2 linked regions of the Xenopus tropicalis genome follow. The protein of the gene in region 1 purifies or fractionates together with the protein of each later gene. This does not show direct contact. Links are inferred from orthologs where the notes say so. Each region holds a gene or a part of one and is shown on either strand. Other genes may lie near its edges. The genes, in order: ahr and ctnnb1.

Region 1 (4,271 bases):
TAGTACATATATGCTGTCCCCGATGCAATGCTGTAGTACATATATATACTGTCCCCGATGCAATGCTGTAGTACATATATATGCTGTCCCCGATGCAATGCTGTAGTACATATATACTGTCCCCGATGCAATGCTGTAGTACATATATACTGTCCCCGATGCAATGCTATAGTACATATATGCTGTCCCCGATGCAATGCTATAGTACATATATGCTGTCCCCGATGCAATGCTATAGTACATATATGCTGTCCCCGATGCAATGCTGTAGTACATATATATACTGTCCCCGATGCAATGCTGTAGTACATATATATGCTGTCCCCGATGCAATGCTGTAGTACATATATGCTGTCCCCGATGCAATGCTGTAGTACATATATATGCTGTCCCCGATGCAATGCTGTAGTACATATATACTGTCCCCGATGCAATGCTGTAGTACATATATACTGTCCCCGATGCAATGCTGTAGTACATATATGCTGTCCCCCCTTCCAGAGTGCGTTACATGCATTTTTCCTGACCCTATTTTGTATTCAATGCAGTATACTCTTGGGGAAATATACAGTATAATTTTTTTAATGCAAAGAATGGCATCAAATCTGGCGTTCAGACGGTGTAAAACAAAACACACCTTGATAATCTTGCCATTATTTTACACAGCTTTTAAGCTGTTTTTTGATACATTTCGTTGTACACAGCATAACAAACAGGCCCCTAACTGTTCAGCAGTAGAAGTGTTTGCATAAGGCAGTACAGCCAGGGCGCCACAGTTCCTCCAATGTATCCGGCACATAAAGCAGCACAATGCCCTCAGCTATGAACAGTTTAGGACTGTAATTTTTTTCACTCAGAAATGCAGACAGGCGGGACAAAACACTCGCACTCGATGTTACTATTCTCCGCGCCTTTCTTCCTGAAACACCTCTTCCGGCAAGAACGCATTTTTTTACAACAGCAATCCCCAGATTCACTATTTTATTTTTTTAAATACAATTTAATAATTTTTTAATTCTTTAAAATACTGACTTGCTGTACGTCTATTTTACTGAATTGTATCTAGCATACACTTTATCAAGAAAGTGACGGGCGCTGTTTAACGCCGTCCCACCTAATAGATCTGTCAATACGCGCACACTTAGGCGCGCTCCAGTTAACGCGCATGCGCATCCCTACGTGGGCGTGCCTCAGTCAAGCAACGTCAGGCCCTGCTCTGCGCATGCGTGTGCTTGCATACGCTTCAAGTGACTTGAGGAAAAGTAGAATTCACGGAAACTCCCGTTTTTGCCTTCTTACCGGAACTTTGTAACTATTTACGGATACGGTGCCGGGCAGGCACAAGGGGGGAGGGTGAAAGGGAGGAAAGCCATTAAATATTTAGAATTTGGAAGTTGGATTCCTTGGCGTGTCTCCGCGGCGTAGAAGTGGACGGGATGAACGCCAACATCATGTACGCCAGCAGGAAAAGAAGAAAACCCGTCCAGAAAACGTAAGAAAGCACCCAAGTGCTGGGCCGGGGCGGGAGGGCAAAAATTGCGTCCCATCTCTTGGGGTAACTAGAAATCGCAGCCTTAGAGCGACGGCACTGACAGTGTTGGCTCAACAACTGCGAGCAATAGGGCAGCAAGGGCATTTGTCCTGCAGAGGGGCATACAGACAAGTGGAAAGAACTTGTTAGATACGTTCTGTATGTGCATCAGGCATACCCAGCTGAGGTTGGCCGGGGGAAGGGGCCATAGATTCAACGGCAGATGACTTGTTTGCTGTGTTGTGTATGTGCATCGGCAGTGCCCAGCTTGTGCTGCCCTGCGGAGTGCCCATAGATTTCAGTCGAAAGAACTTGTTAGATACGTTCTGTATGTGCATCAGCAATTCCCAACTGATGTTGGCCTGGGGCAGGGGCCATAGATTCAAGGGCAGATGATTTTGAAGTAGTGTGTTCTGTATGTGATCAGCAATGCCCAGCTTGTGCTGCCCTGCGGAGTGGCCATAGAATTGAGTGGAAAGAATTTAGATACGTTGGTTAGATACGTTCTGTATATGCATCAGGAATGCCCAGCTGATGTTGGCCTGGGGAAGGGGCCATAGGTTCAAGTGCAAATGATTTGTTAGGAATGTTCTGTATGTGCATCAGGTAATGCCCAACAGTCTTCCAGTTGATGTTGCCCTGCAGAGAGGGATATAGGTACAGTTGTAAAGGACTTGTTAGATTCATTCTGCGTATACGTCAGGCATGCCATCTTACAGTCTTCCAGTTGATGTTGCCCTGCAGAGAGGGATATAAGCTATAATTGTAAAGGACTTGTTAGATTCATTCTGCGTATACGTCAGGCATGCCATCTTACAGTCTTCCAGTTGAGCTTGCTGTGGGGATGGGGGCATAAATATAAGTAGAAAGGCCTTTTGAGATACTTTCTGTATATGCTTCAAGCATGCCCAGCTTGCAGGTTTCCAGATGATGTAGTACTGTGCTTATTGTTTGTTTGGGGGTGGGGGTCCCTGTCTTTCTGCCTATTTGGAAGATGCGCCTTAGTGATTACTACCATTGTATTTATTAGGGAAAGTGTACTATATATATATATATATATATATATATATATATATATATATATATATATATATATATATATATATATATATAACTATGTAATGAGTGTGGGTTCATTTCTGTATGGTGATATTTAGAGCCTTTTCCCGTAAGTGGTGGACATACTGCTGTCCAGGTCATAAATATTTTTCATAGACTCTGGTAAAACAGTGATAATCATAAAAAAAATAAGGAACTCTTGGATAGCTGGTGCATGGTGCAACTATAAATAGCTTTGTAATACTTTTTTGTTTTAACAGTATAAATTTATTTAATTTATTGAATTAATGGTCACCATAATTTAAACTGTTCAAAACATTACAGATCAGTGCATCACAATATAAGATATAATGTAATGCTTGGTATATACACTGTCAATGTCTGTGCAAGGTATTTAATCCACAGACTGTTTTTTGGGGGGGATCATTTTGTCTACATAATAGGTTTATCCAATTCCCTATTGCACACTGGGTAAGACCATCTATGTCGGAAGACTGTATAAAGGGGGATTCTCAACATGTGACCCTAAAACTGCTTTTGAGCTACACTTGGGCAGCTGAAGGCATTTGGCGGGGGGGGGGGGGGGGGGCTGCTGTATTGGAAGGATGATTGTTGTACCTTCCTGATTTTAGGTGTCTATGTAGTAACTTTGGCCCCAGTTATAGCATTTGTTGAAGTATAGATCTCAGCAGTGTTTCTTCAGATGCTGTATGTTATGCATTTTTAAGTATTGGCGATTCAGATGGTCAAAAAAACTCAGCTGTTATGTAACCATTGCACAAAACAACTGGTCTGTTCTGAAAGAAATTAGTGCCTGGTTGGCCAAATATGCATTTTCCAAAATTGTTTAGCAAAGGACAATATTCAAATATTGATTGTTGCTAAACTTTGATAAAGTGTTTTGAGAGACCTTAAGCTGATTGGTGTAAAAAGGTATGCTTGAAAAAAGTAGCAATAGAATATTATTTCTGTACTTCTAAAAATGACACACAGTATCCCAGATGGGTTTAAAGGGTAAAGTGTCCCATTTCAATTATGACTCTAGTCAATAAATTGATTGTAATGATATATTTTTGATGTTTCTAATTTTATTTTTTTGTCTGAGGGATCAGTGGCAGCAATGATATGTTTGGGAATGTGTTCATATAAAAAGGGTTTGCCATCAAAATTAAATACTCCTTTGACACTTTTAAAATTGTTCAGAGCCCTACCATGGCTTTATTTATTTACCTTTTTTGTATATGTGTACTGGAATCATTAGCGTAATATGTACTATGTGTAACTGGATTGGCTAACTAGATTAATACTGAGCTTTACAAATCCTGTTGCCAGAGAGGGTCTTAAAATGATCCTCCTGGCTCCCTGCTTTGTGGCATGGGATGTACTCTGTGTGTTCTTGTAAGTTCTAGCTCTTGGAGACCCATCTTTTACTCCTTCAGTGATGTGACTGGGCCAAATCTAATAATAGTTCTGTTCACAGTGGACTAAAGTGCCTCCAAATGCATTTGCAAATAAATATTTTTTTTTTAATGGATTTTTTTTTTTTTGAAGCTATTTTATCTGCTATTCTTCAATACTAATACAAATATTTTTTTTTAAACGTTTTAAGAACATTTTGTGTTCCAAAATAATTCCAAAACATTTCATATTTAATAAAGAACTACTTCGTGGACTTTAAACA
Region 2 (3,825 bases), about 16 Mb from region 1:
GATGGCTGTACGCCTAGCTGGTGGCTTGCAGAAAATGGTTGCCCTTCTCAATAAAACAAATGTCAAGTTTTTGGCAATCACAACAGACTGTCTTCAAATATTGGCCTATGGAAATCAAGAAAGCAAGGTTTGTAGAGTTTTTCATGGATTAAAACTGATCTACAGATATTGAAGTTAATCTCTAGTGCTATACACAACTGACTTTGAGATTTGGTAGTATGTATTTAGCCAATTTAGGACTAAGCGTAGACCAAATCTGTGACACTTCCTTGGTAAAAGAAGCAGTGTATGTTTCCACCAGCAATTAATTTTGCCAGTGGGAAGGCATTGGGGAAGATTTGTCACCATTGTGCCTTACCCCAATGTAAAAGATAATGCTTTGAAACATTGTAAACAAGACACTTGTGGAAATCTGCCAAAATACAGCAAAATATAATATATCAATGTGTCATGGCAAGGTTTGCTCTCAGTGTCAACAGTGTAGAAATAAGACTAGCCAGTTTTAAATGCCTTCAGTTTTAAAAATGCACTGTATTTTGCCCTCCAGTCACTTTAGTGCATGAAGGAAAATTTTGTATAAATGCTTGTTATGCAGCTTGTATATGAACTTCATAGGATATTTTGTGCTTTTAGTTGATTATTCTTGCAAGTGGTGGACCGCAAGCTTTGGTAAACATAATGAGGACTTACAGTTACGAGAAACTTCTGTGGACCACAAGTCGGGTGCTTAAAGTGTTATCTGTGTGCTCTAGCAACAAGCCTGCTATAGTTGAAGCTGGTAAGCTTACCTTTCACTGTTATTCAAACCATCTGAATTGCATCCTTTAATCTATGCCATGCTGTTGGCAAAATCAAGGGTGGAAACTTAGAAAAATTAAGTCTACAACTCACGAGCTTCCATCAGTGCAGACTTAACAATCTGCAGCCCTGTATAGTTTCAGAAAAACTTTGTACTGATTGAGCTTAATTGACTGTCTTCTGTTTGCCATCTAGGTGGAATGCAAGCTTTAGGACTCCATCTTACAGACTCAAGCCAACGTCTTGTTCAAAATTGTCTTTGGACTCTAAGAAACCTTTCAGATGCCGCAACTAAACAGGTTATTAATGTTTTTCTTTAGGCCACTAGTGTTTAACTGTTTAGTGTGACTTTACTAAATATCTGTATTGATTTTAGGAGGGAATGGAAGGTCTTCTTGGAACCCTGGTTCAGCTTCTTGGATCAGATGACATTAATGTAGTAACTTGTGCAGCTGGTATACTGTCCAACCTTACATGCAACAACTACAAAAACAAAATGATGGTTTGTCAAGTTGGAGGCATTGAAGCCCTTGTTCGCACAGTTCTACGTGCTGGGGATAGAGAAGACATCACTGAACCTGCAATTTGTGCACTTCGTCACCTTACCAGTAGGCATCAGGAAGCAGAGATGGCTCAAAATGCAGTACGTCTTCATTATGGGCTTCCAGTGGTGGTGAAGCTCTTGCACCCTCCTTCACACTGGCCTTTGATAAAGGTAAGTAGGTTATACATAGGGTGCCCTATGGCTCACTCCAGAGTTCAGTCTGGTTTTTATTAATGGTCTGACGGGGAAAATTAAACTTCAGCTCATGATCAATACTTCAACCTCAGATTCTTGTATTACATAAACTAGACCAGTGATGCTCATGGTCTTTATCAAAGTCATTCTTAGCCTACAGTAAGTTTTGCTGCTTATGCTGCCTTCATAAACACATAACTGGTAATTTGTAATCATGGCAATTGTTTTGGCAAGAACTGACATCTGACCACACTGATTCTCTTAGGCTTTGGGTAATGGATTTGTAATTTAAATTTAAAAACTGACCACGTACGGTTACCAAATCGAATGAAAATTTGAAACTCGAGTTGCAGTATTGTGAATCTAGATCACTGAGCTTAGTCTTTAACCTCTTGTTGGCATCCTGTATAGAATGTGTAAGGCTGTATCAAAGTCTCCTAAATTACTACAAAATAACATGGTGGTAAAGTGTTAAACGGCTATTTGTTAACATCTCATATAGGCTTTGGTATAACCATTACAGTGACCAAAAAAAGGCTAGTGGTTGAAAACAAGTAAAATGTTTCAGTGACTTGGTCCCTAGAAAGTTTTTTTTATTTATTTTTTTTTTTTTTCCCCCTCATGCCTTCTTTTGACAAAATAGTACATCAGAAATTAGTTTGTCTGAAAACTAAAAATGTCTAGTAGCTGAACTACCCCACAAAGCTAAACTGTCAGCAAGGATTCCCATGCCAAGTATATAACAGTGATTTATAACTCGTGTTTACACTGTACCTCAGTCTTATTTCATTTTTTTTTTAAATTTTTTTAGGCTACAGTTGGCCTGATCCGCAACCTTGCTCTTTGTCCAGCCAATCATGCCCCACTGCGCGAGCAGGGTGCTATTCCTCGACTTGTGCAATTGCTTGTTCGTGCACACCAGGACACACAGAGGCGCACTTCAATGGGTGGAACACAACAGCAATTTGTGGTATGTAATTCTTTCAAGCTTGCCTATACTTAGATACATGTGTGCTTAAGGTTGCCTACAAGTTCTGATTTCCACTTTCAGGAGGGTGTCCGTATGGAAGAGATAGTTGAAGGCTGCACAGGTGCCCTTCACATTTTGGCTCGTGATGTCCACAACCGAATTGTAATCAGAGGTCTTAACACCATTCCATTATTTGTGCAGGTAAGACTTTAGTTCAGGGCAGTTTTAATGGAATGAAAAGGGAGAATTTAGCAGGATCTTTAAAGGATAGACTGGGAAATTAGTCAATTGGCATTTCTCGGTTTATGGAAGTTGGTCTCTTCACTTTTAAACTATCCATAAAACTAATCGGTGCCCCTTGGGAGTTTGAATGTGTTGGTTTGATAAAACAATAAGGTTTGTCTCGCACACACTAAAAATTCAAGAGTATGCAGTCTGAAGTATATGGTCCCCTGATCTTGCTGTTGTGTAAAAGGGACTCTAGCCACTTTTCAACATGAGTTTTATTAACAGAGCTTTTGCTGAACAAATTTTTCTTTAATATTTAACTGGTAAAATGGGCAAAATTTGCTCAGTATGGTTCTTAGATTACCAAAACAGATAATCCACTCAATTCTATTGGACACTTATCTGCTCAGGGAATCTACCTTGCAATGGTGCACTGCATTGCTCATGATTAAATCAAGAGGAGACAGGTTTTCAGCCAAGCCCTATTTCTTGAACTTGTGGATTTCTGTCCTTTTAAAAATTGTCTAAAAGAGGACATGCTTGGCTTATTAAACAGTAACACTGCTAGAATATTTTGCAGTATATTTAAACTAAACGCACTACTGGCTTGGCTAGCCCAAAATGTTACAAATTTAAATGGAAACCATGATTGTTTCTTTGCTTACAGGTACCAGTTCCTGACTTAGGTTAAACTAAATCTTCCCCAATCTATGGAGGAGCTCATGTCAGGGGCAGTATCTCCCAAGCGAGCGGATCTTCTCCCGATATCCCCACCTACAGGCGGGCGATATTGGGTGATTTCAGGCTAATTCCGACCGAATTAGAACTGCAGTATATAGTCTGTTCAGGGGCCATATGAACGAGCTGATGTCGCCAATCTGACTAAATTTGTTAACCTGTCGATCAGTATCTGCCCGATTCCAGGACAGATGTCAGTCGGGCAGGCCCATCATTTGTGTCCATACACGGGCCGATAAGCTGCCGAATCGGTCCAAGGGACAGATATCGGCAGCTAGAATCTACCTGTGTATGGCCACCTTTAGACGGCACAGGGCTAGATGTTGTTCACACCTTTCATATAAATAAGCTC

What was found.
Region 2: the proteins of ahr (region 1) and ctnnb1 purify together in Homo sapiens (affinity purification with western blotting; 4 studies listed by BioGRID and IntAct, with this or other methods). This does not show direct contact. The link is inferred for Xenopus tropicalis from reciprocal best matches to the Homo sapiens genes AHR and CTNNB1.

What each region holds. Positions count from the first base shown.
Region 1 is NC_030682.2:37,605,114-37,609,384, forward strand, and holds the start of ahr (aryl hydrocarbon receptor), read left to right. Parts: upstream 1-1,172; 5' UTR 1,173-1,436; coding exon 1,437-1,492; intron 1,493-4,271. UniProt on the Homo sapiens protein: Ligand-activated transcription factor that enables cells to adapt to changing conditions by sensing compounds from the environment, diet, microbiome and cellular metabolism, and which plays important roles in development, immunity and cancer.
Region 2 is NC_030682.2:53,371,195-53,375,019, forward strand, and holds part of ctnnb1 (catenin beta-1), read left to right. Parts: coding exon 1-127; intron 128-633; coding exon 634-778; intron 779-993; coding exon 994-1,097; intron 1,098-1,174; coding exon 1,175-1,513; intron 1,514-2,348; coding exon 2,349-2,507; intron 2,508-2,588; coding exon 2,589-2,708; intron 2,709-3,825. UniProt on the Homo sapiens protein: Key downstream component of the canonical Wnt signaling pathway.